Linked DNA regions of Macaca mulatta. The protein of the gene in region 1 purifies or fractionates together with the protein of each later gene. This does not show direct contact. Links are inferred from orthologs where the notes say so. Each region holds a gene or a part of one and is shown in the gene's direction. Other genes may lie near its edges.

Region 1 (6,654 bases):
AGTCACCATGCCTGGCCTTGTGGAGTTATTTTATTTATTTATTTATTTATTTATTTATTTATTTATTTTTGAGACGGAGTCTCACTCTGTCTCGCCCAGGCTGGAGTGCAGTGGTGCGATCTCAGCTCACTGCAGCCTCTCCCTCCCGGGTTCAAGCAATTCTTCTGCCTCAGTCTCCCGAGTAGCTGGGACTACAGGCACATGCCACCACGTCCGGCTAATTTTTGTATTTTCAGTAGAGACAGGGTTTCACCATGTTGGCCAGGCTGGTCTCAAACTCCTGACCTCAAGTGATTGGCCAGCCTCGGCCTCCCAAAGTGCTTGGATTACAGGTGTGAGCCACCATGCCTGGCCTTGTGGGGTTATTTTCGAAAGTCCTTGAGACAGTCCCTATATCAGACATGCAAGCATGAGCCCTTCTGCTTGGTGTTCTCATGACTCCAATTTGTTTGGACTTGACAATGTGATTTTTGTCCTGGTATCTGCAACTTTCACAAGATGGAGCAACTCAACACCAGATTCCATCCCAAATTATTCCTTCATTCACTCAAAAAGTATCTAGGCACCAATGTGTTAGGTACCGTGTTGGTCACAGGGGATACCACGATGAACAAGAGAAGGAAACACAGGCTCCTGAATGCGAGAGTGAGGCATGTGGAAAGCAGACACGGAGAGCTGGGTGTGGTGGCTCATGCCTGTAATCCCAGTGCTTTGGGAGGCCAAGGATGGAGGATCGCTTCTGTCAGGGAGTTGGAGACCAGCCTGGACAACCTAGTGAGACTCCTGTCTCTATCAAAATAAAAAAATAATAATAAAATTAGCTGGGTGTGGTGGGGTGCACCTGTAATCCCAGCTACTCGGGAGGCTGAAATGGGAGGATCACTTGAGCCCGAGAGTTTGAGGGTGCAGTCAGCTGATATCAGGCCACTGCACTTCAGCCTGGGCGACAGAGCGAGACCCTGTCTCAAACAAAACAAAACAAACCACCACCACCAGACAGACATGAGGGCCAGTGCAGCTGTAGCCTGAAGATCAAGGGCTAGAAAAGTAGAGGCCAGACCGGGGCCAGATCAGGCAGGGCCTTGCAGGCTGTGGTTAGTTGTCTGGATTTTATTGTGAGGGAAATAACACGACATGTCATTCATTCTGCAACAGCCTTAAGAACTAGGAGTTCTTATCCCAATTTTACAGACGAGGACGATCAATCAAATCGTTAACTAATTTGTCCAAGGTCACCCGCAGGCGACAGGCGGGGACAGGGTCTGGGAAAACCGGCAGGCACCGAGGCCCAGAGGGCGTCGGGCTTCCCTGCACCGAGTGCCGCCCGCCGCGACCCGGGAACTGCCTGCTCCCCGGACGCCAGGCCCGCCGCTTGCCGCGGAGACACAGAACATGCGCTGCTCGCCTTACGGAAGCCGGGAGGGAAGGGGGCGGGGCCGAGGCTGGCGGGCGCGGGGAAAATGGCGGCGGCGGCGGCGGGTGCAGCTACAAACGGGACCGGAGGGAGCAGCGGGATGGAGGTGGATGCAGCAGGTAACGGGCCGTGCGCGGGCGGCTTCCGGAGACCTCCTTCAGGGGTGCGTTGAGGCCTTGCTGTGCTCCCGGGAGAAGGGAGGAGGGCGGAGCAGCAACATCTTTCTCTGGGATAAGTTGCGGGAGGAAAAGTGTGGCCCGGGCTCCGTCGTCCCCCACTGCTATCTGCAGGGAAGAACGTGGGGCCCGGACTCTCACCCTCTCTCTTTCCCTCCACCCTTAGTAGTTCCCAGCGTGATGGCCTCCGGAGTGACTGGGAGTGTTTCCGTCGCTCTCCATCCCCTTGTCATTCTCAACATCTCCGACCACTGGATCCGCATGCGCTCCCAGGAGGGGCGGCCTGTGCAGGGTGAGTGTTGGGCATAGACTCCAGTCTCCTCTCCTTGCTCACCTCCCCCAGACAGTGGTCTTTTCCCCTTCCTTTACTGGATCCAATTCCCCTCCCCCAAATCATCGTTTCCCCAATACTTGGTTCCCACTCATCTTAGACCCTCAGGTCATAGAAGTCTCTTTAACGTTACCTTTTCCATGTCATTCTCTCCCAGTGATTGGGGCTTTGATTGGCAAGCAGGAGGGCCGAAATATCGAGGTGATGAACTCCTTTGAGCTGCTGTCCCACACCGTGGAAGAGAAGATTATAATTGACAAGGAATATTATTACACCAAGGAGGAGCAGTGTGAGAGTGGAATAGATGTGGGGAAGAGGAGTGGGAGTTAAAAAAAATGTGCAAGGTGGGGAAGATGGAGAGGGTTGGAAAGAAACCCGAGAGGACGCCAAGAACAGAGGAGAAAAAGTGAAGAGAGTAGCTGGAGAGATCTCAGAAAAAGAACACGTTCAGAGTTCTTTCTCAAAAAGAAAGTAAAGGATGAGAGAAGACAGGATAGAAGGGAGTAATTATTCTAAACTGAGCCAGGATTTGAGGAAGGAGGAGAAGCTGGTGAAAATACACCAGGAGTTTCACATTGAGGAAGGATGGTTTAAAGGACTATGTCAGGCCGGACGCAGTGAATCAGGCCTATAATCCCAGCACTTTGGGAGGCCGAGGCGGGTGGATCATGAGGTCAGGAGTTACAGACCAGCCTGGCAAACATAGTGAAACCCCATCTCTACTGAAAATACAAAAATTAGCCTGGCATGGTGGTGCGTGCCTGAAGTCCCAGCTACTCGGGAGGCTGAGGCAGAATTGCTTGAACCTGGGAGGCAGAGGTTGTGGTGAGCCAAGATCGTGCCACTGCACTCTAGCCTAGGCAACAGAGCAAGACTCAAAAAAAAAAAAAAAAAGAATTACTGTGTGTTCTGGCCCTTTCCCCTCCAGTTAAACAGGTGTTCAAGGAGCTGGAGTTTCTGGGTTGGTATACCACAGGGGGGCCACCTGACCCCTCGGACATCCACGTCCATAAGCAGGTATACATGCTCACACCTGTGCATGCTGGGGCAGAGAATGGAGAATGAGGGGAAGGAGAAAGGTGGGGGTCACTGACTTCTGTGCATTGTCCCTCTCTTCCAGGTGTGTGAGATCATTGAGAGCCCCCTCTTTCTGAAGTTGAACCCTATGACCAAGCACACAGATGTGAGTAATACCCCATGCCTACTCTGTCGTGATTGTCACTGTTGTCTTTTACTGTGTGATACTCTTCTATTGGGGAATGCCAGGTGCCACTTACCAGCTGTAACTCTGTCTTAGTCATTTCATCTCCAAACTGTGAAGGGAGGTAATCCCTACTTCACTGGTTTCTTGGGAAGATGAGATGAGAGGAAATGGGTGAAAGCAGCTCGTCCAAATGTTGGCATATAGTGTTCAGGTTTCTCCATCTCCTTCACAGCTTCCTGTCAGCGTTTTTGAGTCTGTCATCGATATAATCAATGGAGAGGTAATACCCTACCCTTGAACCCTCAGATCCTGCTCTTGGCCTCTTTCCTGCTTTTGATTCTCCCTTTGTGGGTTACCTTGCCTTGTAGGCCACAATGCTGTTTGCTGAGCTGACCTACACTCTGGCCACAGAGGAAGCGGAACGCATTGGTGTAGACCACGTAGCCCGAATGACAGCAACAGGCAGTGGAGAGAACTCCACTGGTAATGGAGGGGATTACTTGGAAGTGGGGTTGGAAGGTGTGGCCACATCCCGTCTCAACCTCCTCCTGTCCTCGTCCCTTTGCAGTGGCTGAACACCTGATAGCACAGCACAGCGCCATCAAGATGCTGCACAGCCGCGTCAAGCTCATCTTGGAGTACGTCAAGGCCTCTGAAGCGGGTAGGACAGGGGCTTCCTTGGGCACTTCCCTGGCATTCTTCCTCTCCCTCCTGGGGAAGTGACAGCATCCAAACTAATGCAGCCTCTTTTTGTGCCTTTAGGAGAGGTCCCCTTTAATCATGAGATCCTGCGGGAGGCCTATGCTCTGTGTCACTGCCTCCCGGTGCTCAGCACAGACAAGTTCAAGACAGATTTTTATGATGTGAGTTTAAAACCTGGATGGGGAGGTGGGGCTCATGCTGTCACTTTCACGTGGAGGACCGGGGACTGTTGTTCCCTGGGCATGCCACGAGGGATCCCCTGAGGAATTTGTCCTTTCTGTTCCCTCCCAGCAATGCAACGACGTGGGGCTCATGGCCTACCTCGGCACCATCACGAAAACGTGCAACACCATGAACCAGTTTGTGAACAAGTTCAACGTCCTCTATGATCGACAAGGCATCGGCAGGCGAATGCGCGGGCTCTTCTTCTGAGGAGGGTACTTGAAGGGCTGATGGACAGGGGTCAGGCAACTGTCCCAAAGGGGAGGGCGCTACACTTGAGAGAAACCGCTGTCATTAATAATAAAGGGGAACAGCCCCCGAGCACCCCTGCTGGTGGCTCTGTCCTCTCTGTTAGGCACCACACTGGTTTGTCAACTTGGATGTTCATCGAGGTTCATCGTGAGCCTTGCTCACAAGCCCTTCTGATGCTTTTCCATGAGGGAGGCACTGCCATTTCAAGTGACCCCGTGTCAGTCACATGGACTGTCGTTAGCATCCAAGGCTGCCTGCTTCCACCTAAGCGGTCTCTGTTCTACACTTTAATGTCACCCTTGACGACATCTTATACATAGCCCAGCCCTATAAACGTGACAACTACTTTCCCGAGCGAAATTAACTTTTCACACATGCATAAAACAAGAGATAGTAAGCAGATTTTTATTAGAAACAAGTCCAAGCCTTGATCCTGTGGGCATTGTGAATTACCAGGAGGGAGTTTCTCAATGACCGTTTACTACATATTTTGGAGAGGCAGCTAGGAAGTGGTCTAAAGGTCAGGATTGCTGTATGTGATCACTTGTGCCGATTTTCATCACCCGCTAACCAGAGCTTTAGAGTGGGAGTTGGGAACTAAGTGGTTAAGTAATGACCTGTCTGCTAGAAAAGGGGAAAAACCAAGAGACCCTGCATTTCATACTGGCGCCGTATCCCCAGAGCCTGACTGGCACACAGGCAGTGTAAGACTAAATAAGGGAGTCGGGGGGCTCAAAAAGTGGAGCCCCAGCTCAAGTATCTCCAAACAGCAGGGACCACTTAGTCTTTGCCACATCCCCAGCATCTATACTGGGGCCTGGCAGGGAGATGCAGCTTACTCAGACAATTTACTGAGTCGATGAAATAGGAGCATAAAAAAGGAACAGGTAGGAATCTAAAAAACACAAAAGGCCCAGGCTAGAAGGTGGCAATCTACAAACACTTTATTAGCAGAAGGAATAAGTGCAGCATAGGAGAAAGAGGGGCTCCTCCTTCCCCTCAAGGGCATCACTGCCCCTTCCCAAGGGGCGGGCCAGCAGGGAACAAGAGGACCCCAGGCTTGCAAGCACGCTGGAATCAGACAAAAGTGATCCGTGTCCGGGAAGCATTGACCTGCCAGACATTGAGCTCCTCGTATTCATCCAGAGCCACCTGGAACTGGGCGGGTGTAAAGCCGCGAGATATGCAGCGCTGCTCTGCCTCAGAGAACCGGACGCTTCGGCCCCCTGAGACCAGTTCACGGATGGTGGCAAATACCACATCTGCTGGTCTCTGAGCCCTGAAGGAAATGAGTAGGTGTGTAAGGTCAGGGGACAAACAGGAATGCTCGACATCAACAGAGAACAATGATGGTCAGTGTTAGAATTGAGGCCAGCCTCAGACACATGGACACAAAAGCCAAAGTGACTCAGCTTTGTCCTTCACTAAACCACTCACCTAGCTGTCTGCCCCTTGTCTCCCAGAAGAGAATCCTTTGACATCTCCATTAGCCTGATGGCTTCATTCACATCTTCCTTCTCCACCACGTCCACCATTCGCAGACGCGCCTAAGGGGAAGGTAGGGGACAGATGGGAACGGGAGGAGGGCAGTGGAACAAGGTCAGGGAACACCCTTGTTCTGGCTTTAAGGCTGGGCAGCCCATGGGTCGCCTACTCACAAAACAGGAGAGGAGCCCCCCACCCCCCCCAGCATCCGCAGTGTTGGGCCGGCACTGTCAGACCGAGACAAGTGCAATGCCCAGGGCAGCGTCCAGCAATTGCCCAAGTCTCCGCCTCTCAACACTGGCCAGTCCCGGAGTTCAGCTGTCCTGTGAGGGAGACCAGACCCTTTTGAACTCCACTGGGCTCCCCAGCATGACAGATGGAGCTTGGGGAGCTCAGCCAAGACAACTGGCAGAGAGAACGTGTCCTGGGGGCTCGGGAAGTGCTAGCTCAGCAGTAGGTCGGTTAATCACACTACCTGCACGAACAGCACTTTGGAGCCCCCAGGACTGAGGTCCAAGACGGGAGGACAGAAAGGAAGGTCTGTAGCACAGGATCTAGGACATGGAGTGAAACAGATCCCAACCACCCGCTCAGTGAAGGTTAACAAGTGGGGAAAAGGCCTTTCCCTCCACGGACGCTGTGCGTGCCCTGCTGGAGCAGCAAGTACCCACAGTGCGGTAGCACGGAGAGGACCACTATCTGCACTGTCAGCACTTTAGCCCCAGCAGGGCTGGAGCGGGAGGGACTCGGCGATGAGAGCATGGTAAGGAGCTGCCACTTTAAGGGTCAAAACAGATGGTCCTCCAGCAGTTTGGGCACTTACCAGAGCAGTGGAAAGGCGCAGGATAGCCAGCAGGGTCCGAGCGGA
Region 2 (5,916 bases), on another chromosome or scaffold:
GAGTGGCGTCCTGAGCCTGGGAGCCATGGAGTCCTCCGCGCCCCATACAGACCTGGCCAAATGCGGCTTCATAGCCGGCTCTTGTGGAGGCTCGGGAGGCACCAGCAGCCTTCCTGTGCCCACCACACCCTCCTGCCTGTTGCGATATGGAGGATCTGAGCCACTGAGTGGGTCCCATAGGGAGCCTGTGCTCCACACGGGGCAGAACCCACAGCGTCCTCACAGCCACTGCTTTCCCAGCTGGGGCTGCCCCTGGTGCCTCCTAACGCTCCTCCCATGCTCCTGCTGTTCCCTGGGCCTTGATGCCCTTCCCCACCGGCGTGGTGGCTCAGATGACCCCACAAGGCTTCCCTGGGCTTTGTGTTCCGAATAGGACCACGCTCCTCTCTCTTCCCTCACTCCGTGGGGGCTGTTCGGCCACTTGGTCCTTGTCTGTCTCCCTCAGGCCAGGCCCTGTGCCTGTAGCTGACTCCCTGGGAAAGTGTGTGCCGATGAGGGAATGCGTGAGCGGGAAAGTGATAGAGAGTAGATGAATGTGTGAATCAGTGAGTGAATAATGAGGCTGAATAAGTGGATGAGTGCATGTGGGAATGAATGAATGTGTGTGTCAATGGGTGAATGAGCGAATAAATTCACGTGTTGGATGAATGAGTGAGCGAATGAGTGCGATGAATGAGAAAGTGAATGAATGAGAAAGTGAATGAATGAATGCGGGTCATAAATGAGCGTGTGAATGCACGCCCATGGGAATGAATCAGTGGGTCAATGAATGCATGTGTGGATGAATGAGTGAGTGTATGTGTATGAGTGAGTGAATGTACATGGAAATGAATGAGTTAATGAATGAACATGTGAATGAATGAGCGAGTGAATGAACGCATCTGTGAATGAATGCATGCATGCATGTGGGAATGCGTGAATGCGTGCCTGACGCCTGGAAGGAAAGAGGATGGTGAGGGCTGGCAGAGTGTGAGGCCCTGTGTGGTCCAGGGCATGGTCCCAGCCCTGTCTGTCCTTGCCGTGGGTCCATCTGCATCACCCTCCTGCTGTCCCAGGCCCCTTCCAGAAGCCTCTGCCATCAGGGGGCCTGGCACATGCCTGCTGGGGGCTGGTGGGGACCCCTGGTGGGGTGGTCATCCAAGATACCGGGCAGGCCCTCCCCACCATGGGGTGGCGGCCATGGGGTTAACCAGGGCCTCCTCTCTCCCATGCCAGGTTCGTGCTGGCTGTGGGCAGCGCCGTCTTTGATGCCATGTTCAACGGGGGAATGGCCACAACGTCCACAGAGATCGAGCTGCCCGACGTGGAACCCGCTGCCTTCCTTGCACTGCTCAAGTAACGCTTCCGGATGCTTCCTGCTGGGGAGCCGGGTGCGGGGAGGGGGACCTCAGAGAACGCAGACCCTGTCTGACACCACCTCAGAGGCCCTGGCTTGGTGGAGATTTCTAGAACTGTGTTCCTGTGCAGTGAGGGGTTCCAGAGGCACCTTTTTTTTTCTTTTTTTTTTTTTTTTTGAGATGGAATCTCGCTCTGTTGCCCAGGCTGGAGTGCAGTGGTGTGATCTCAGCTCACTGCGACCTCCGCCTTCCTGGTTCAAGTGATTCTCCTGCCTCAGCCTCCTAAGTACCTAGGATTACAGGCGTTCACCACCACACCCAGCTCATTTTTATGTTTTCAGTAGAGACAGCGTTTCTCTATGTTGGCCAGGCTGGTCTCAAACTCCTGGCCTCAGGTGATCCACCTGAGAAAAAAAATTTTTTTTTTTTATTTGGAGTAGCACTCTGCCACCATGGCTGGAGTGCAGTGGCTTGATCCTGGCTTACTGCAACCTCTGCCTCCTGGGTTCAAGCGATTCTCTTGCCTCAGCCTCCTGAGTAGCTGGGATTACAGGTGCCCGCCACCACGCCCAGCTAATTTTTGTATTTTTAGTAGAGACGGGGTTTCACCATGTTGGCCAGGCTGGTCTGGAACTTCTTGACCTCAGGTGATCTGCCTGTCTCAGCCTCCCAAAGTGCGGGGATTACAGGCGCGAGCCACCAGGCCCGGCCTTTGCTTCTATTTTTGATCGGCCCAACTTCTGATCTGTATTCAGTGTGGGCCACTGGCTGGCATCGTGTTCAGCGTGGTGTGGGCCCCTCGCTGGCATACAGTAATGTCGTCCATGATTATCCATGAGCCTAACTAGTGTGTTGGGTTCTGTGATCACCCAGAAATGGTCGAGGTTTTCGGTGGGGCCTGAGGTGGGGAACCAAGAGTTCCTCATGGAAAAGGCGCCCAAGGAGGAGACACCCAGCTCCCAGTGCCCTCTCCTGGGGCATCCCGGGAAGAACGAGACAGGCCGTGTAGACGCTTCCGGGTGTGTGCTGTGTGGATGGGTTCAGCCTCTTGTTTTCATGGGTGACTGCCTTGCCAAGTCATGTCCCTAGGTCAGAGGGCAACAGACAAGGGCTAATTCTGGAAGGTTCCTCGGGGAGCCTGATGTGGGGCGTTTGGGCCCTGCAGGCTCAAGGGCAGGCGGCCAGGTCTGAGTGGTCCTCTGACGCTGTTCCCTGGGGGCGGGCATGGCGGTCCCATCTCATGGCTACCCGCGTTGCCTCTGCAGGTTTCTCTACTCGGACGAGGTGCAGATCGGCCCGGAGACGGTGATGACCACGCTATACACCGCCAAGAAGTACGCGGTGCCAGCGCTGGAGGCCCACTGCGTGGAGTTCCTGAAGAAGAACCTGCGAGCCGACAACGCCTTCATGCTGCTCACGCAGGTGGGCGGGGCCGGCACGGGGCGGGGCCGGCACGGGGCGGAGGCGGGGCCAGGCCTGGCTGGGGGCGGGCACGGGCTGGAGGCGGGCACGGGCTGGAGGCGGGACCGGGGTGGGCCCTGGAGGCAGCAGGATCCTGCCTGGTAGTAAAATGTGTTTTGTGCCTTGCGCTGTGGCTCACGCCTGTAATCCCCGCACATTGGGAGGCTGAGGCGGGCGGATCACCTGAGGTCAGGTGTTCCAGACCAGCCTCGCCAACATGGCGAAATCTCGTCACTACTAAAAATACAAAAATGAGCCTGGAGTGGTGGCGGACACCTGTAATCCCAACTAGTCTGGAGGCTGAGGCAGGAGAATCGCTTGAACCTGGGAGGCGGAGGTTGTAGTGAGCCGAGATTGCGCCACTGCACTCCAGTCTGGCAACAAAGCGAGATTCCACCTGAAAAAAAAATGTGTCTTGGACTTTTCTGTGATAGTTTAAAAAGTTATTGGCAGGGTGCGGTGGCTCATGCCTGTAACCCCAGCACTTTGGGAGGCCGAGGAGGGAGGATTGCTTGAGGCCGGGAGTTCTAGACCAGCCTAGGCAACATAGGGAGACCCCATTTCTACAAAAAATAGAAAAAAGATACAGGCTGGGCATAATGGTTCATGCCTGTAATCCCAGCACTTTGGGAGGCTGAGACAGGCAGATCACCAGAGGTGAAGAGTTTGAGACCAGCCTGGCCAACATGGTAAAACCCCATCTCTACTAAAAAAAAAAAAAAAAAAAATTGGCCCGGCGCGGTGGCTCAAGCCTGTAATTCCAGCACTTTGGGAGGCCAAGGCGGGTGGATCACGAGGTCAGGAGATCGAGACCATCCTGGCTAACATGGTGAAACCCTGTCTCTACTCAAAATACAAAAACTAGCTGGGCGTGGTGGCGGGCGCCTGTAGTCCCAGCTACTCGGAGGCTGAGGCAGGAGAATGGCGTGAACCCGGGAGGTGGAGCTTGCAGTGAGCCGAGATCGCGCCACTGCACTCCAGCCTGGGCGCCACAGCAAGACTCCGTCTCAAAAAAAAAAAAAATTTTTCATAAATTAGCCAAGCATGGTGGTGCGTGTCTGTAATCTCAGCTACCTGGGGCACCAAAGCAGGAAGATTGCCTGAGCCCAGGAGGTTGAGGCTGCAGTGAGCGGAGATGGCGCCGCTGCACTCCAGCCTGAGTGACAGAGTGAGACCCTGTCTCTCAAAAAAAGTAAAATAATTTTTTTTTTTGAGACGGGTTTCTCTTGTTGCCCAGGCTGGAGTGCAATGGCATGATCTCAGCTCACTGCAACCTCCGCCTCCAGGGTTCAAGCGATTCTGCTGCCTCAGCCTCCAGAGTAGCTGGGATTACAGGCCCCCACCACCACGCCTGGCTAAAGAAAAAGAAACAAAAAAAAAAGAGAGAACTTTCCGTCTCTCTCTAAGGAAATGTCAGGTAGACAGAGCAGGGCCGGGGATCTCAGGGGACCCCAGTTGGGCTCTGTGCAGCCCAACGGGTGGGAGCTGGGGAGGTCGTGCAGGCCAGGGAGGCTGAGAGGAGGACATGGGGCCAGGACAGTTGGACGGCCGCTTGCGAGCTGTGAGCTCCTGGTCGGGGGTGGAGGGCGGCCAGAGGGGACAGCAGCACTAGGTCCTCCAGTGGGCTTCGGGGGTCCAGCATCCTGGAAAAGACCCAGAACCTTCTCCCTCTCCAACCTGGCAGGTCAGATGCAGAGGATCCGGACTCCCAGAGGGCGGGGTTTCTTGTCCGGGTCATCTGTGGTCGTCTTGCCGGAGGGGCCTCTGCCTGACCTGAGAGGTGCCTGGAGTTCATGCCCCGAGCTTTGTCTTGTGGCTGCTTCAGCCTCCCTGCTCCTAAAACCACTGCAAACCCGCTTGAGAGGTGTCCTCAGGGGGAATGCCTGCAGAAAGGCCTGCCCGCGTCCCTGCTGGCATAGGCCCTTCCAGCACCTTCCACTAACAGCCTCAGTTTCCCTAAGAGCACAGGCGACGTCCAGCTCTGTCACCTGTCAGGAGTCATGTCTGCTGTGTGTCTTGGGATGGAGGTGCCAGGGACACAGCCCCTCCCACCACAGGTGGCCAAGGGCGTGCTGTGATCCGGAAGCTTCACCGGGTCGACCCTGGCCGCCTCACCTCTGCCTGCCACTCGGGGTCCTGGGCCCTGCTGCCCCCCAAGTGCAGCTGCAGTGCCCCTTTTGCCTAAAGCAGCAGGCCCTGCCGACAGTGACCTGAGCATCTTTTTCTTCCTTCCTTGGCCTCTGAGGTCCTGAGAGGGAACTCCCCGACTCTCCCGCCCCACTCAGCGGTCACACGGGGGTCTCTGGGCCCACGGCAGGGCCAGCCTGGTGGCTGAGACCCCGGTGACTCCTGGCCACGCTCAGGAAGGCCTGTGCGGTCAGGGCTGCATTTGAGCCAGCTCCACACGGGATCTGCCGAGGGCTGGGTGCTGATGTCCCCGCCACGCGCCCATCAATGTGTCTCGCCAGGCGCGACTCTTCGATGAACCACAGCTGGCCAGCCTGTGCCTGGAGAACATCGACAAAAACACCGCAGATGCCATCACCGCAGAGGGCTTCACCGACATTGACCTGGGTAAGGGTCCAGGGGCCCAGGTGTGGGAATCCCAGCAGGGCCTTGGCAGGAGGGTCTGGGGATCGACAGTGGGAGCTTTGGGCCTGGGGGTTCCCTGGGGGAGCTGCACAGGTGAGCTGGGGTCTCACCACTTGCAGTGGGTCAGGAGCTCGGGTCCAGCACAGCCCCAGGGGAGTCTGGGGCCTTGGCCGGGAGGCCACAGGCCAGACCCCACCTTCCCAGCTGATGGTGACCGTCTCGTCCTCCGACGGCCCATGGTTTTGACTTTGTTGTTAAACAGCTGTTGTCAAAGCTACTCAAGTCTGTCCTTGTGGCTAAAAGCAACCACAGCCTAGGAAAATGAAGGGGCATGGTCATGTGTCGATAAAGCTTTATTTATAAACACAAGCACAGGGCCAGGTTTGGGCCACGGGCCATAGTTGCCAGCCCGGCTTTAACTGTTGGTCCTCACGTTAGTCTCCCTGCCTCCTGCAGGGTGGGCAGGGTGTCATGTTCACACAGCCCCTTCCTCCACCCCGCAGACACGCTGGTGGCCGTCCTGGAG
Region 3 (5,916 bases), on another chromosome or scaffold:
GCCGCTACTGGTAAGCAGTCTGCACCCCTGTTTGTGAAGGGTCCTGTCCCTGGGGAGACCAAGCTGGCAGGTGCTTTTTTTCTTCCTCTTGGCCTCTCATCAGCAACCCTGTTTAAACCTTCTTGGATGATTTCAGGAAGATTCCAAAGTAACTCTCCTGGTAAAATTATTCTTTGCCATATGTTCCAGATTTCTTGATGAAAACACGGAAGATAATTTTTTTGAATCTTATTATGGGCCCTCTTAAGAATATCTTTTTTTGTGGCTGGGCACGGTGGCTCACGCCTGTAATCCCAGCATTTTGGGAGGCCAAGGTGGGGAGATCACTTGAGATAAGGAGTTTGAGACCAGCTTGGTCAACATGGCAAAACCCCATCTCTACTAAAAATATAAAAAGTAGCCGGGCATGGCGGTGGGCACCTGTGATCCCAGCTACTCAGGAGGCTGAGGTAGGCGAATCGCTTGAACCCAAGAGGCAGAGGTTGCAGTGAGTGGAGATTGCACCACTGTGCTGTAGCCTGGGCGACAGACTGACATTCCATCTCTCTCTCTCTCTCTCTGTCTCTGTCTGTCTCTGTCTCTCTCTCTCTTTCTCTCTCTCTCTCTATATATATATATTTTTTAATGAATTTTGAATTTGATTTAATACAAATAAATATGTTAATTTGATTAAATTTAGACTTACAGTTTACTCTTCTTTGACGTCAGGTAGTCTTTCAGCCTGCACTTTTGATTATTCTCTAAGTCCCCATAATAGTTTTGAACCTATAGAAAACTGCTTTTCAACAACAGATATTGGCTAATGGGCAATATTGTGATGAAGCAGATGCTAGCATTGCCAAGGCTGCCTATTGCCCCAGTGTTGATGTTTAGCCCTACAGGTGACCGGACTTGCTAGCAGGCCAACGTGAGTAGCCAGTAGGCTATAAATGTGTGCCAGCTGTCCCGACAGTGGCTGAATGGAGTTCCAGTAGGCAGGCTGTGTTTAGAGAAAACCAAGAAGAAAATAACATGTTAACGGGAATAAACCGTTTGGGGTCAAAATAACAGTCCCATGTTTTTGTACTTGTGTGAGATATAAAAAGAAAACTTGAGTGTCAATTAGGCTTAGTATGAACTTCCAAACATTCTTGCCCGTGCTTGTGCACCTCCAAGGAAGTGGCTGGATGAAGGCAAAACTCCCCGAACATCTCACGTCTTCGATTGCTCTGGAAAGCCTTGGTGTCCTTACTGCGGTGTTCGCTCTCTCCTTCCAGAGTTTTATAAATGGACGCTGACATGGACTACGAAAGACCCAACGTTGAAACCATCAAGTGTGTGGTCGTGGGTGACAATGCCGTGGGAAAGACGCGCTTGATCTGTGCCAGGGCGTGCAATACCACGCTCACGCAGTATCAGCTGCTGGCCACCCACGTGCCAACCGTGTGGGCGATTGACCAGTACCGCGTGTGCCAGGAGGTAAGATGCACAGAGTGTCTTTAGCATCCCTAGGGCACATCATTGCTGGTTACCAGTCTGATTTTTTCAAGGAGGAGCGTGGGTAAATTGCACATTCAAAACTAAACTAACCTTTTTAGTGCCACAAAAGAAAACAAAAGTAAAATGCAAACCGGAGACTATGGCTCTGGGTATCCTGAATGAGGGTTGAGACAGGTGGTTCCAAAAAGGGAATTAAGACTTAGCTTAAATCCCATTAGATAGAATAAGGAAACTTAATGCAAGTGAATTGAGGGGCACTGAGGGTGCTGACTTGAACATGCTTCTCCTAGGGAACTTCTTACTGACACTGAGCACAGATGCTGTCTCTCTCTCTCCTGCAGGTCTTGGAGCGTTCTCGGGATGTTGTTGATGAAGTGAGTGTTTCCCTCAGGCTTTGGGATACTTTTGGTGATCATCACAAAGACAGACGCTTTGCATATGGCAGGTAAACCAAGACTAGTACAGTGCGGTTGAGCTTGAGTGCAATTTCCTTTTCAAAACCAGCAGCTGGTTCACAAATCAACAAAAACCACATCATATGGCCTTGAAATGTGTTGGGTTCTGCACTGTGTCTAAGAAAAGAAAAAAGAAAAAAAAAAAGAATGGTATTGTTTCCTGAAGTCAAGAAAAGCAGCATGCCCTGCCAATGAGGAAGTACTGTGTTGAAAACAAGCAGTGGTCAAGCTGGAAGGTTTGCTAGATGAGGATTCTGTAACACCCTCCAACTGCAGGCTGCTTTGATTGCTGGTTCTCTGAGTAACACTTCACTTGCCTTCTGTTAGAATGTTTTATGTTATTTTGGCACTCAGTCACCCTACTTCAGAAGGACTCTTTGGTCTTTTCATGACCATATTGGCAGAGTCTAATGTTATTTGCTTTGGGTTTTGTGTTATCTGAAAAGTCTGTTATTTTTATTAGAAGGTCATTTTTAAAAAGAAAGAAAAACATCCCTGAAGTCCTTTGCAAGACATATTTCCAAAATGAACGGAAACACTAATGTTTATTTTTTATTTTTAAAAAAAGGAGAAAAAAATCTAGTAATGGGAAAACTCCTCTAAAAGGACATTAATATGGGTAGGAAGATGGTCAAAGTGCCTTAAAATATTTAGCAACCTCTGCTTGCCACCATAACTTAACGTCTCTCTCAATGAAAGGGTTATAGCTATTAAAATCTGGATTAGTGGAGACTTTTTTTTTGCCACTTAATTATAAATGAACACATTTCATTTTAAGTGTAGAATGTAGATATCATGGCCTTGTTGTCTCTTCTTAACATTAAACATCATGTTACCTTACAGGATTTTATTAGTTAGGAACTCCAAGCACATGAATTACTCCTTGGTATCGAGATAAGCATTTCTGAAGATTCTTCTATTTCTCCAAGCCAGTAGCTCTCTGAACAGACTTTTATTGTCATTTATCTAAGTGGCCTAAAATAATGAATAAACTGCTGGAAGAGTTTGCCCTATTCCTAGGAATTATTTCACACACTGAAAGAATCTGTGACTTAGACCACTTTTTTCAAGGGGACTCAGAAAGAGAGATATGGAAGCAAAACACAGTTTTAATGTCCGCTTGGTAACAAGGACTTTTGAACTTAATATCCGACATCATAGATAGTTTTCTTTTCCTTGAATTTCCTGGATTTTTTTTTCTTCCTGTAATGTTCTTGATTGTTATCTTAGTTGCCGTTTTGCTTTTTTCTTTTGGCCAATTGTTCTACATGTAAAAATAACAATTATAAATGAACCTGCTTGTAACTGCTGGGCAGTCAGGTTTGTAACCCCTGTGGTTTTGAGGAAGCTTGATTTGATGACTTTAGGCAGTGTGAGGATAAATACAATAGATTTCAAAGGACTTTTTTATATCCCCACTTCTAAAACGGTGTTGTGAAAATGATGAGCCTGATGATGAGTTAATGGAAATATTTGGGTTTAGACTCTAGAAACTATTTCAACAGCTCAGTGATTTGTTGCCACTAGAAATGTATGCATTTGTCAATACCTGTGAAAAAAAAAATACCACAGAAAAAAAGAGAAAACAACAATGAAATGTATTCATTTCAAACAATGAATTTTAACATGACCCCTCAGCGTAAAGCTGGTGCGGTGGTAATAAAAGGGCTGCTTCATTATTTTGTGAGATTCCTGCATAGCATTTATTTAATGGCACAATGGCCTTCGTAGATCCACACTGGGCCCTGTCCAGCTCCCTGACATAGCTGGAGTCATTTTACAATACAACATGCCATACCTGCGTGTGTGTTCCCTCCCAACAAAAATAAGCTGCTCTTTCCTGTGACTCCATCAGTTCAAAGTGCTTTGTTCTGCTCCCTTGTCTGTAACATTTGGTTCTGTCAACTGTAACCCATTATCCCTTTGGTAGAAACAGGAAGTGCTCCCCCAAGCCAACTTTGATTCTCTGAGGAACATAGAGGGGCTTCAGGAACACTCCCGTGTTTCTGGCCACGTTCTCCTTGGGGCCTCACTTTGTGTGCATGTTTGTACCTTGTATTTCCTCTGTCTTTTCCAATTCCTCACAGCCTCCAGGTGTCTTGACACAGACCCCACCTCTAGTTAAAGAACAAAAACCAGAGCTGCTCTTTCTTGCACTCCAGCATCTTTCTGTAAATGCTAAATATGTAAGATCACATTGACGTAATGCCAAAAAAAATTACATTTTTATGGAAAAACCTGAGAGAAGTAGTTCTTTTATTCACTCTAGGTCCCTGACCAGTACATTTCCCTGCTCTGAGAGAGCTGTTTAATTTCTTAATGACTTCAAGTTTTACCTTTATATCATTCGTGAAGGCGAGGAATCATAATTATAGCTTCTGACAATGTTTGTTTTGCAAACCTGTTTTGTGACTGACATTTTTACTATACTTAGTGAGAATTACAATTCAGTGGGATGTACTCAGACATAAACTTTGAGGCATGTGAAATACGTTCCCTATACTTGGAAATGTATTTGAGACCTTTTTAGAATAATTAATTTGATTCTTGTGGTGACAGTGAGAGAAGCCAGATTTAAACCAACATGTCTTAGACCTTGCCTTCGGTTTCCTCTGCTTCATAGCAAAAGATAGTTAATAAGTTGCCCCTCAAACATTCTTTGGCATGGACAAGCCATAGTTTGCAGAGAGGATTCTGTGGGATGAGGAGTTGTCAGTGGTAGGCAGTTGGCCAACTTGAATTTGCAATGTTCCTGATGTGGTATAACCACAGTGTTATTGCTCTCTTATGATTTAAATGGAACTATTCTACCCATTTTTTGCCAATTAGAATAAAATCTTCAATTTATCAAAAACCTGCTGTGTGCCAGTCAACACATTAGGTGTTTTGCCAACATTAGTTAATCCTTTCAGGAACTATAGGAGGCAGAGATGATCTTGGTGCTACCATTGAGTAAAGGGTTGAGTTCTTTTACTACCATAAATTTTCCCAACAACTGAGTCTCAGAGGCAGATTCAAAGTCACTCTGCCTGACTCCTGGCTCTCACTCTTTCCACTGTGCCAAGCTACCTCAACCTACTGGGACCCTACATTGGTGAGCTGGATTTCTATTTGCTCTTTTGGATTTGTGCAAAGATTGGAACTAGAAGAGATTTCAAAAGGTCATCTGGTTGACCCCATGTCTTCAGGAAGGGAAATCATCCATCTATCCAAAAAGAAGTATTGATAGGAGCCCTTCTATTCCATGGAGATGAAGGAAACAGAGTAGCATGAGCATTGTAATGCTCTGCACTTTGAAAACTGTCGACCCTCTCTTCTCTGGAGTGAGTAACTCCAGCTCTCTTATGGCCTTTTTCCCACCACCTACTTTATATCCACTTTTGGATGAACTTTTAAAGCTCTTTTCTGGATCTTTTAAAATGTCAGGAACAAAACCGTACATAGTAACCGTGACTTTGATCAGCTGCTCGTTTTTGGCAAGGAAAGCTCCTCTTCTTAAAGGGATGTCGCTCAACTCAAGAGTTGTCTCCTGGAGCTCTTATGAGAATGAAATGTCCACATTTAGGGACTTAGCACTGAAAATATAGACAAACGGGATGGGCTCTGCCTTTATCAGGAATCTGGCCCTTCAGTCCCTGTATTAGTCAGTTCTCACACTGGTAATAAAGATGTATTTGAGACTAGGTAATTTATAAAGAAAAAGAGGTTTAATGGACTCACAGGTCCATGTGGCTGGGGAGGCCTCACAATCATGGCAGAAGGCAAAGGAGGAGCAAAGTCACATCTTACATGGTGGCAGGCAAGAGAGAGAGCATGTGCAGGGGAACTGCCCTTTATGAAACCATCAGATCTCATGATACTTATTCACTATCATGAGAATAGCATGAGAAAGACCTGCCCTCATGATTCAGTTACCTCCCACTGGGTCCCTCCCATGACATGTGAGAATTATGGGAGCTACAGTTCAAGATTTGGGTGGGGA
Region 4 (5,729 bases), on another chromosome or scaffold:
AGGCCAAGGAGAGTGGATCACGAGGTCAGGAGTTTGAGACCAGCCTGGCCAACATGTTGAAACCCCGTCTCTCCTAAAAATACAAAAAAATTAGCTGGGCATGGTGGTGCATGCCTGTAATCCCAGCTACTTGGGAGGCTCAGACAGGAGAATTGCTTGAACCGGGACCTGGGAGGCAGACATTGCAGTGAGCCAAGATCACGCCACTGCCTTCCAGCCTGGGCTACAGAGTGAGACTCCGTCTTAAAAAAAAAAAAAAAAAAAGAAGACACCAGACTCCTTGTGTACAAACTGAGGGAGGGCATCAGGATTATAGGTACATTAAAATGATGAAGTGTACCAGCCATCCCATTACTGGGTATAAATCATGCTGCTATAAAGACACATGCACACATATGTTTATTGTGGCACTATTCACAATAGCAAAGACTTGGAACCAACCCAGATGTCCATCAATGACAGACTGGATTAAGAGGCACATATACACCATGGAATACCATGCAGCATAAAAAATGATGAGTTCATGTCCTTTGTAGGGACATGGATGCAGCTGGAAACCATCATTCTCAGCAAACTATCGCAAGAACAGAAAACCAAACACCGCATGTTCTCACTCATAGGTGGGAATTGAACAATGAGAACACTTGGACACAGGAGGGGGAACATCACACCCCAGGGCCTGTTGTGGGGTGAGGGGGGAGGGATAGCATTAGGAGATATACCTAATGTAAATGACGAGTTAATGGGTGCAGCACACCAACATGGCACATGACAAACCTGCACGTTGTGCATATGTACCCTAGAACATAAAATATAATTTAAGAAAAAAAGATGAAGTATAAATACTATGAGTAAAATAATAGAAACCGTCTGGGCAACAGAACATGATCCCATCGCCACACACAAAAAAATGAAAAATTAGGGCTGGGTGCAGTGGCTCAAGACTGTAATTCCAGCACTTTGGGAGGCTGAGGTGGGCAGATCACTTGAGACCAGGAGTTGGAGACCAGACTGGCCAACGTGGTGAAACCCTGTCTCTACTAAAAATACAAAAAAATTAGCCAGGTGTGGTGGTGCACACCTGTAATCCCAGCTACTCAGGAGGCTGAGGCACGAAAATTGCTTCAACCTGGGAAGTGGAGGTTTCAGTGAGCTGAGATCCCACCACTGCACTCCAGACCGGGCAACAGAGTGAGAGTCTGTTTAAAACACACACACACACACACACACACACACACACACACAGAGATGCCTAAGGGCTTCATATTATTCTGTAGTTTGCTTCATTTGGTTTAACTTAAATGTAACTTGTCTCTTAAAAATTACAGATCATTGAATATGAGAAAAAACAAACGCTGGGACAGAACGATACCGGCTTTAGTTGTGATGGGACGGCTAACACGTTCAGGGTCATGTTCAAAGAACCCATAGAGATCCTGCCCAATGTGTGCTACACAGCATGTGCAACACTCAAAGTAAGAATCATGCACGATGTTCCAGATGGTTTCCTCTTGAATGTTGCAGAAAGTGTGTTTTAGAAGCTGGGAGTCACTGACAGCTGAGCCATTTATAAAGAGCGGGGAAAAGAAGCTGGTACTTAAAATATTCCACTGCCTTCTGAAAAGAAGTGCTTCTCCCCACAGCTCTGTTCTAAAGGAAATAGGTCTTCCTAAGAAGTAGCCCTTTGTTTCAGTAAGCAGTTGAATGTTTGGCAGAAAATAAAAGTAATTTTTAAAAAATCTTTTCACTATTCTCTAATAGCTGGGCTCTACATTCAGTATTTTTATTCATTAATTAGTTTTTTGGTAAAAACTTCATTTTTTTCTAAATGATATCATAAAATTGTATATAGGAGTGATAGTGTAATGTAATAGAACATTAATTAAAACACCACATTAAATTGAGTGCTTATTAAATGAAAATTACTAAGGAACCTTTTGTTCTCATTTAGGGTCCAGATTCCCACTATGGCACAAAAGGATTGAAGAAAGTAGTGCATGAGACACCTGCTGCAAGCAAGACTGTTTTTTTCTTTTTTAGTTCCCCAGGCAATAATAATGGCACTTCAATAGAAGATGGACAAATTCCAGAAATCATATTTTATACATAATTTAGCATTATACTACATCTTGGCAAAATAGTACCATACAATCTAGTGTCAAAAACATAAATGGCCACAAAAAAGTAGTTTGAGTGTTATGAATATTTATAATCGTAAGATAAGAAACAGTTTCTTAGAGGAGATAGAAAAATGTTTATTTAAATCTTTGCATGATTTAAAAACAGATTTTCCATTTTCTTACAACTTTAGGAGAAAAGAACTGGGTTTAATGGTTAAAAAAAAAAAGCACAGCCTTTTCAGCTTCATCTTGTATAATTTCATAGATTGGCTGACTTAGGGTCTTTCAATAGTTTGGAAATTGAAAGATTCTTGTTATATATAGCTAGTTTGGGTTTGTTTTTAACTATTTTGAAGGTTAATTGAGATGGGCAACTAGGCTTAATTAACTGTTTTGAAGGTTGGATGAAAAGACATGGGTCAGTATTCCTACAGAATTCGTATTAACTAAATTTCAGAAAATTAAGAAGCTGACTTTATATTTGGGGGTTTGAACTATCTAGTTGTTAGCATTTGTAATAATGCTTAAAAAAGGCCTAATAAAATGCCCAAGAAAATTTTCAGTGCATTTACAGAGAAGGATATTTTGTAGTAGTAATGTGTTATGTAGTACAGTTTTAAAGCTATAAATGGAATTTTGTGTAAATTCACAAAAATGTGATATAAACAGGATCTAAGACTGGATTCTCTGTCACTAAACTGCACCACTATACCTGTCTCTCTGTGTGGGGGACACTGCTGATGGTTCCCAAGACTGAGACGATGACGGTGATGACGACTGGGTGAACAGACATCACTTCAACATTGTGAAAATCCTGCACAGCAAGAAACCGAATAAAATACTAACATTTCTAACAACTGCTCTGATATTGTAAAGAGATCCAACAGAATCACTCCTGCTGAAAAATACACTTTCTGCCACCTACACATTTCTATCTAGGAAGTAAAATTTGCTTCATGGTCATGACCCTATTAGTCACTGTTACAGCTGTGTTGGGGATAGGAAGTATATCTGGCAGATTGACATATATATGCTTTTTTATAAAGCAGATTTTTAAAATATAGTAAGATTCATTTTTTCCCTTGAAAGTGATTCTCTTATAAAAAATGTAAGTGGAGTTTAAGGTATATCAAATCGTTGTGGAAGGTGATTAAAAATCAAAATTCTTTTAAGTATCAATTTAATTTTTTCTAAATAATATATAAAAATTTTTCATCCAAAGCAATCTTTCACTTTATATTGTCAAGAAGGTAGGTATATTGGTGGCTGAGGTCTCCTGAAATTGCTAAAGGGAAATTTTTCTGTGGTAATGCTCTTATGGATATAAACCTCAGTTAAATGGAATATCTATGGGATGTGTGGTTCTGGTTAACTAAAAATTAACCAGTAAACACTCTGTAGTAACCATTATACAAAATACTTCTGCCTTAAAAAATATGATATGCCAGAGATGAGTAAGTGTTTCTTGACGGTGGAGACCTTTCAAATGACCTTTCTGTTGAACTGAACAATTGAAACTGCATCAGCCATAGAAAGGACAAGAAACAGAACTGTTTACTAACTTTGGGACATCCCCTGGAATTTTTAAAAATAAATATATATATGTAACCCTTTTTTGTCATTTGCTTTTTCTTCTAAAAGTGAATATAAACAGCATTTTGATTTTTTGTTTGTTTTTTGAGATGGATTCTCGCTCTGTTGCCAAGGCTGGAGGGCAGTGGTGTGATCTCAGCTCACTGCATCTTCCACCTCCTGGATTCAAGCAATTCTGCGGCCTCAGCCTCCAGAGTAGCTGGGATTATAGGCGCCCACCACCATGCCCAGCTAACTTTTGTATTTTTAGTAGGGACGGAGCTTCACTATGTTGGCCAGGCTGGTCTCGAACTGACCTCAGCTGCCTTGGCCTCTCAGAGTGCTGGGATTACGGGCGTGAGCCACCACGCCTGGCTATAAACACCATTTTGGAACAGAGGTTCTAGTTAATTGAGTTTAACTTTATGGGAGTAATGCAATACAAAATACAAATACCTCACTGCTGACTTAAAGCAGTTCATAGGAACTGCAGCGATAACTGCCGCTGCCTTTTGTTTCTTGATCACTTCTTGTGGTCTCAGGTTTTTCTCCCCTGTTCTAATCTCAGGAGGTGGAGGATGAATGTGGGAGAATCCAATAAATAATCTTACTGTTAGAGTGTGACTATCATCTTACAGCTGTTTATTAATAATAACTACCCAAGTGACTACTATGTACTAGGCTCTGCAATAAGTACTTGACTACATTCTTATTTGTTTCTCACAGCATCAGTATGAGGTAAGTACCCATTTCACGGGCAAATTAAAAGGTCAGCTAGGCTGGGCATGGTGGCTCACACCTGTAATCCCAGCACTTTGAGAGGCTGAGACGGAAGGATCACTTGAGGCCACGAGTTCAAGACCAGCCTGGGCAACATAGACCCTGTCTCTGAAAAATAAAATTAGCTGGGTTGTGGTGGCACGTGCCTATAGTTGTAGCTGCTTGGGAGGTTGAGGGGAGGATTGGTTGAGCCCAGGGGTCCAAGATTACAGTGAATTATGATAGCACCACTGCGCTCCAGCCTGGGTGATAAAGCAAGACCCTGTCGGGGCAGGAAAAAAAAAGTTTATCAAGTGGTGGGAGGTGGAATTTAAACCCATTTACAGAGTTGAGAAAATGTTTTGCAGGGTTCAAAAATAACATGTCACCATTCTCAAACTTTGCAGTGAGACCCAAAAAGATATTTGACTATCTACTATAAAATATACTTTCTGTTTTAAGAAAGTGTGATATTCCAGTATCTACCCAACAAATTGAGATTCCTTGCATTATCAGAGTGTTGACAGTAGTACCTATAGTTTTTTTTTTTTTTTAATTATTATTATTATTTTTTGGAGATGGAGTCTCGCTCTGTCGCCCAGGCTGGAGTGCAGTGGCGCAATCTCGGCTCACTGCAAGCTCCGCCTCCGGGGTTTACGCCATTCTCCTGCCCCAGCCTCCTGAGTAGCTGGGACTACAGGTGCCCGCCACCATGCCCGGCTAGTTTTTTGTATTTTTAGTAGAGACGGGGTTTCACCATGTTAGCCAGGATGGTCTCGATCTCCTGACTTCGTGATCCGCCTGCCTCGGCCTCCCAAAGTGCTGGGATTACAGGTGTGAGTCACTGTGCCTGGCCTTTTAAAATTATTTTTAACATGGGAATAAACTTGTAAGACATTAAAGAGAGCAAGGTCTTCAATGAGATATGTTACATGCAATGTGTTTAAAACGTCCCACTTTTTAGTGCTTCTTCAAACCACTTTAGTACTACTTGCTGTTCTAGTCATCCAGATTCAAGACCTGGAATTGTCCCCCAATTAGAAAAAACACATCCTTCACAAGAAGGATGGTACCTTTGCAGTCCCAGCCCCAACAGCCAGCCCCAGAGCTGCACGGTGTATTTATTCACATACACCTAGTTTATATGCTTTTAAAAATCCCTTTTCCTGTTTCTCCATTGCGAGTTTTTAAGTGGAACTCTATTTAAAACACGATAAAGTGAGTCCTGTAGTTATGCAGCTACTGAGGAAGCTGAGGCAGGAGCGTTGCTTGAATCCA

The links.
Region 2: the proteins of COPS6 (region 1) and BTBD2 purify together in Homo sapiens (affinity purification with mass spectrometry; 4 studies listed by BioGRID and IntAct, counting the BioPlex papers as one, with this or other methods). This does not show direct contact. The link is inferred for Macaca mulatta from reciprocal best matches to the Homo sapiens genes COPS6 and BTBD2.
Region 3: the proteins of COPS6 (region 1) and RHOBTB1 purify together in Homo sapiens (affinity purification with mass spectrometry; 4 studies listed by BioGRID and IntAct, counting the BioPlex papers as one, with this or other methods). This does not show direct contact. The link is inferred for Macaca mulatta from reciprocal best matches to the Homo sapiens genes COPS6 and RHOBTB1.
Region 4: the proteins of COPS6 (region 1) and BTBD1 purify together in Homo sapiens (affinity purification with mass spectrometry; 3 studies listed by BioGRID and IntAct, counting the BioPlex papers as one, with this or other methods). This does not show direct contact. The link is inferred for Macaca mulatta from reciprocal best matches to the Homo sapiens genes COPS6 and BTBD1.

What each region holds. Positions count from the first base shown.
Region 1 is NC_133408.1:47,395,669-47,402,322, forward strand, and holds COPS6 (COP9 signalosome complex subunit 6), read left to right. Parts: upstream 1-1,438; 5' UTR 1,439-1,460; coding exon 1,461-1,533; intron 1,534-1,756; coding exon 1,757-1,882; intron 1,883-2,078; coding exon 2,079-2,210; intron 2,211-2,849; coding exon 2,850-2,938; intron 2,939-3,041; coding exon 3,042-3,104; intron 3,105-3,357; coding exon 3,358-3,405; intron 3,406-3,493; coding exon 3,494-3,608; intron 3,609-3,693; coding exon 3,694-3,786; intron 3,787-3,887; coding exon 3,888-3,988; intron 3,989-4,118; coding exon 4,119-4,259; 3' UTR 4,260-4,378; downstream 4,379-6,654. Other genes in the region: DNA replication licensing factor MCM7, read right to left, coding at 5,379-5,580, 5,739-5,848, 6,610-6,654. UniProt on the Homo sapiens protein: Component of the COP9 signalosome complex (CSN), a complex involved in various cellular and developmental processes.
Region 2 is NC_133424.1:2,712,095-2,718,010, reverse strand, and holds part of BTBD2 (BTB/POZ domain-containing protein 2), read left to right. Parts: intron 1-1,215; coding exon 1,216-1,335; intron 1,336-2,602; coding exon 2,603-2,759; intron 2,760-4,035; coding exon 4,036-4,215; intron 4,216-5,266; coding exon 5,267-5,372; intron 5,373-5,728; exon of another isoform or gene 5,729-5,893; coding exon 5,894-5,916.
Region 3 is NC_133414.1:88,904,949-88,910,864, forward strand, and holds part of RHOBTB1 (rho-related BTB domain-containing protein 1), read left to right. Parts: exon of another isoform or gene 1-30; intron 31-1,256; 5' UTR 1,257-1,266; coding exon 1,267-1,458; intron 1,459-1,820; coding exon 1,821-1,924; intron 1,925-5,916.
Region 4 is NC_133412.1:73,727,754-73,733,482, forward strand, and holds the end of BTBD1 (BTB/POZ domain-containing protein 1), read left to right. Parts: exon of another isoform or gene 1-271; intron 272-1,328; coding exon 1,329-1,475; intron 1,476-1,951; coding exon 1,952-2,110; 3' UTR 2,111-3,728; downstream 3,729-5,729.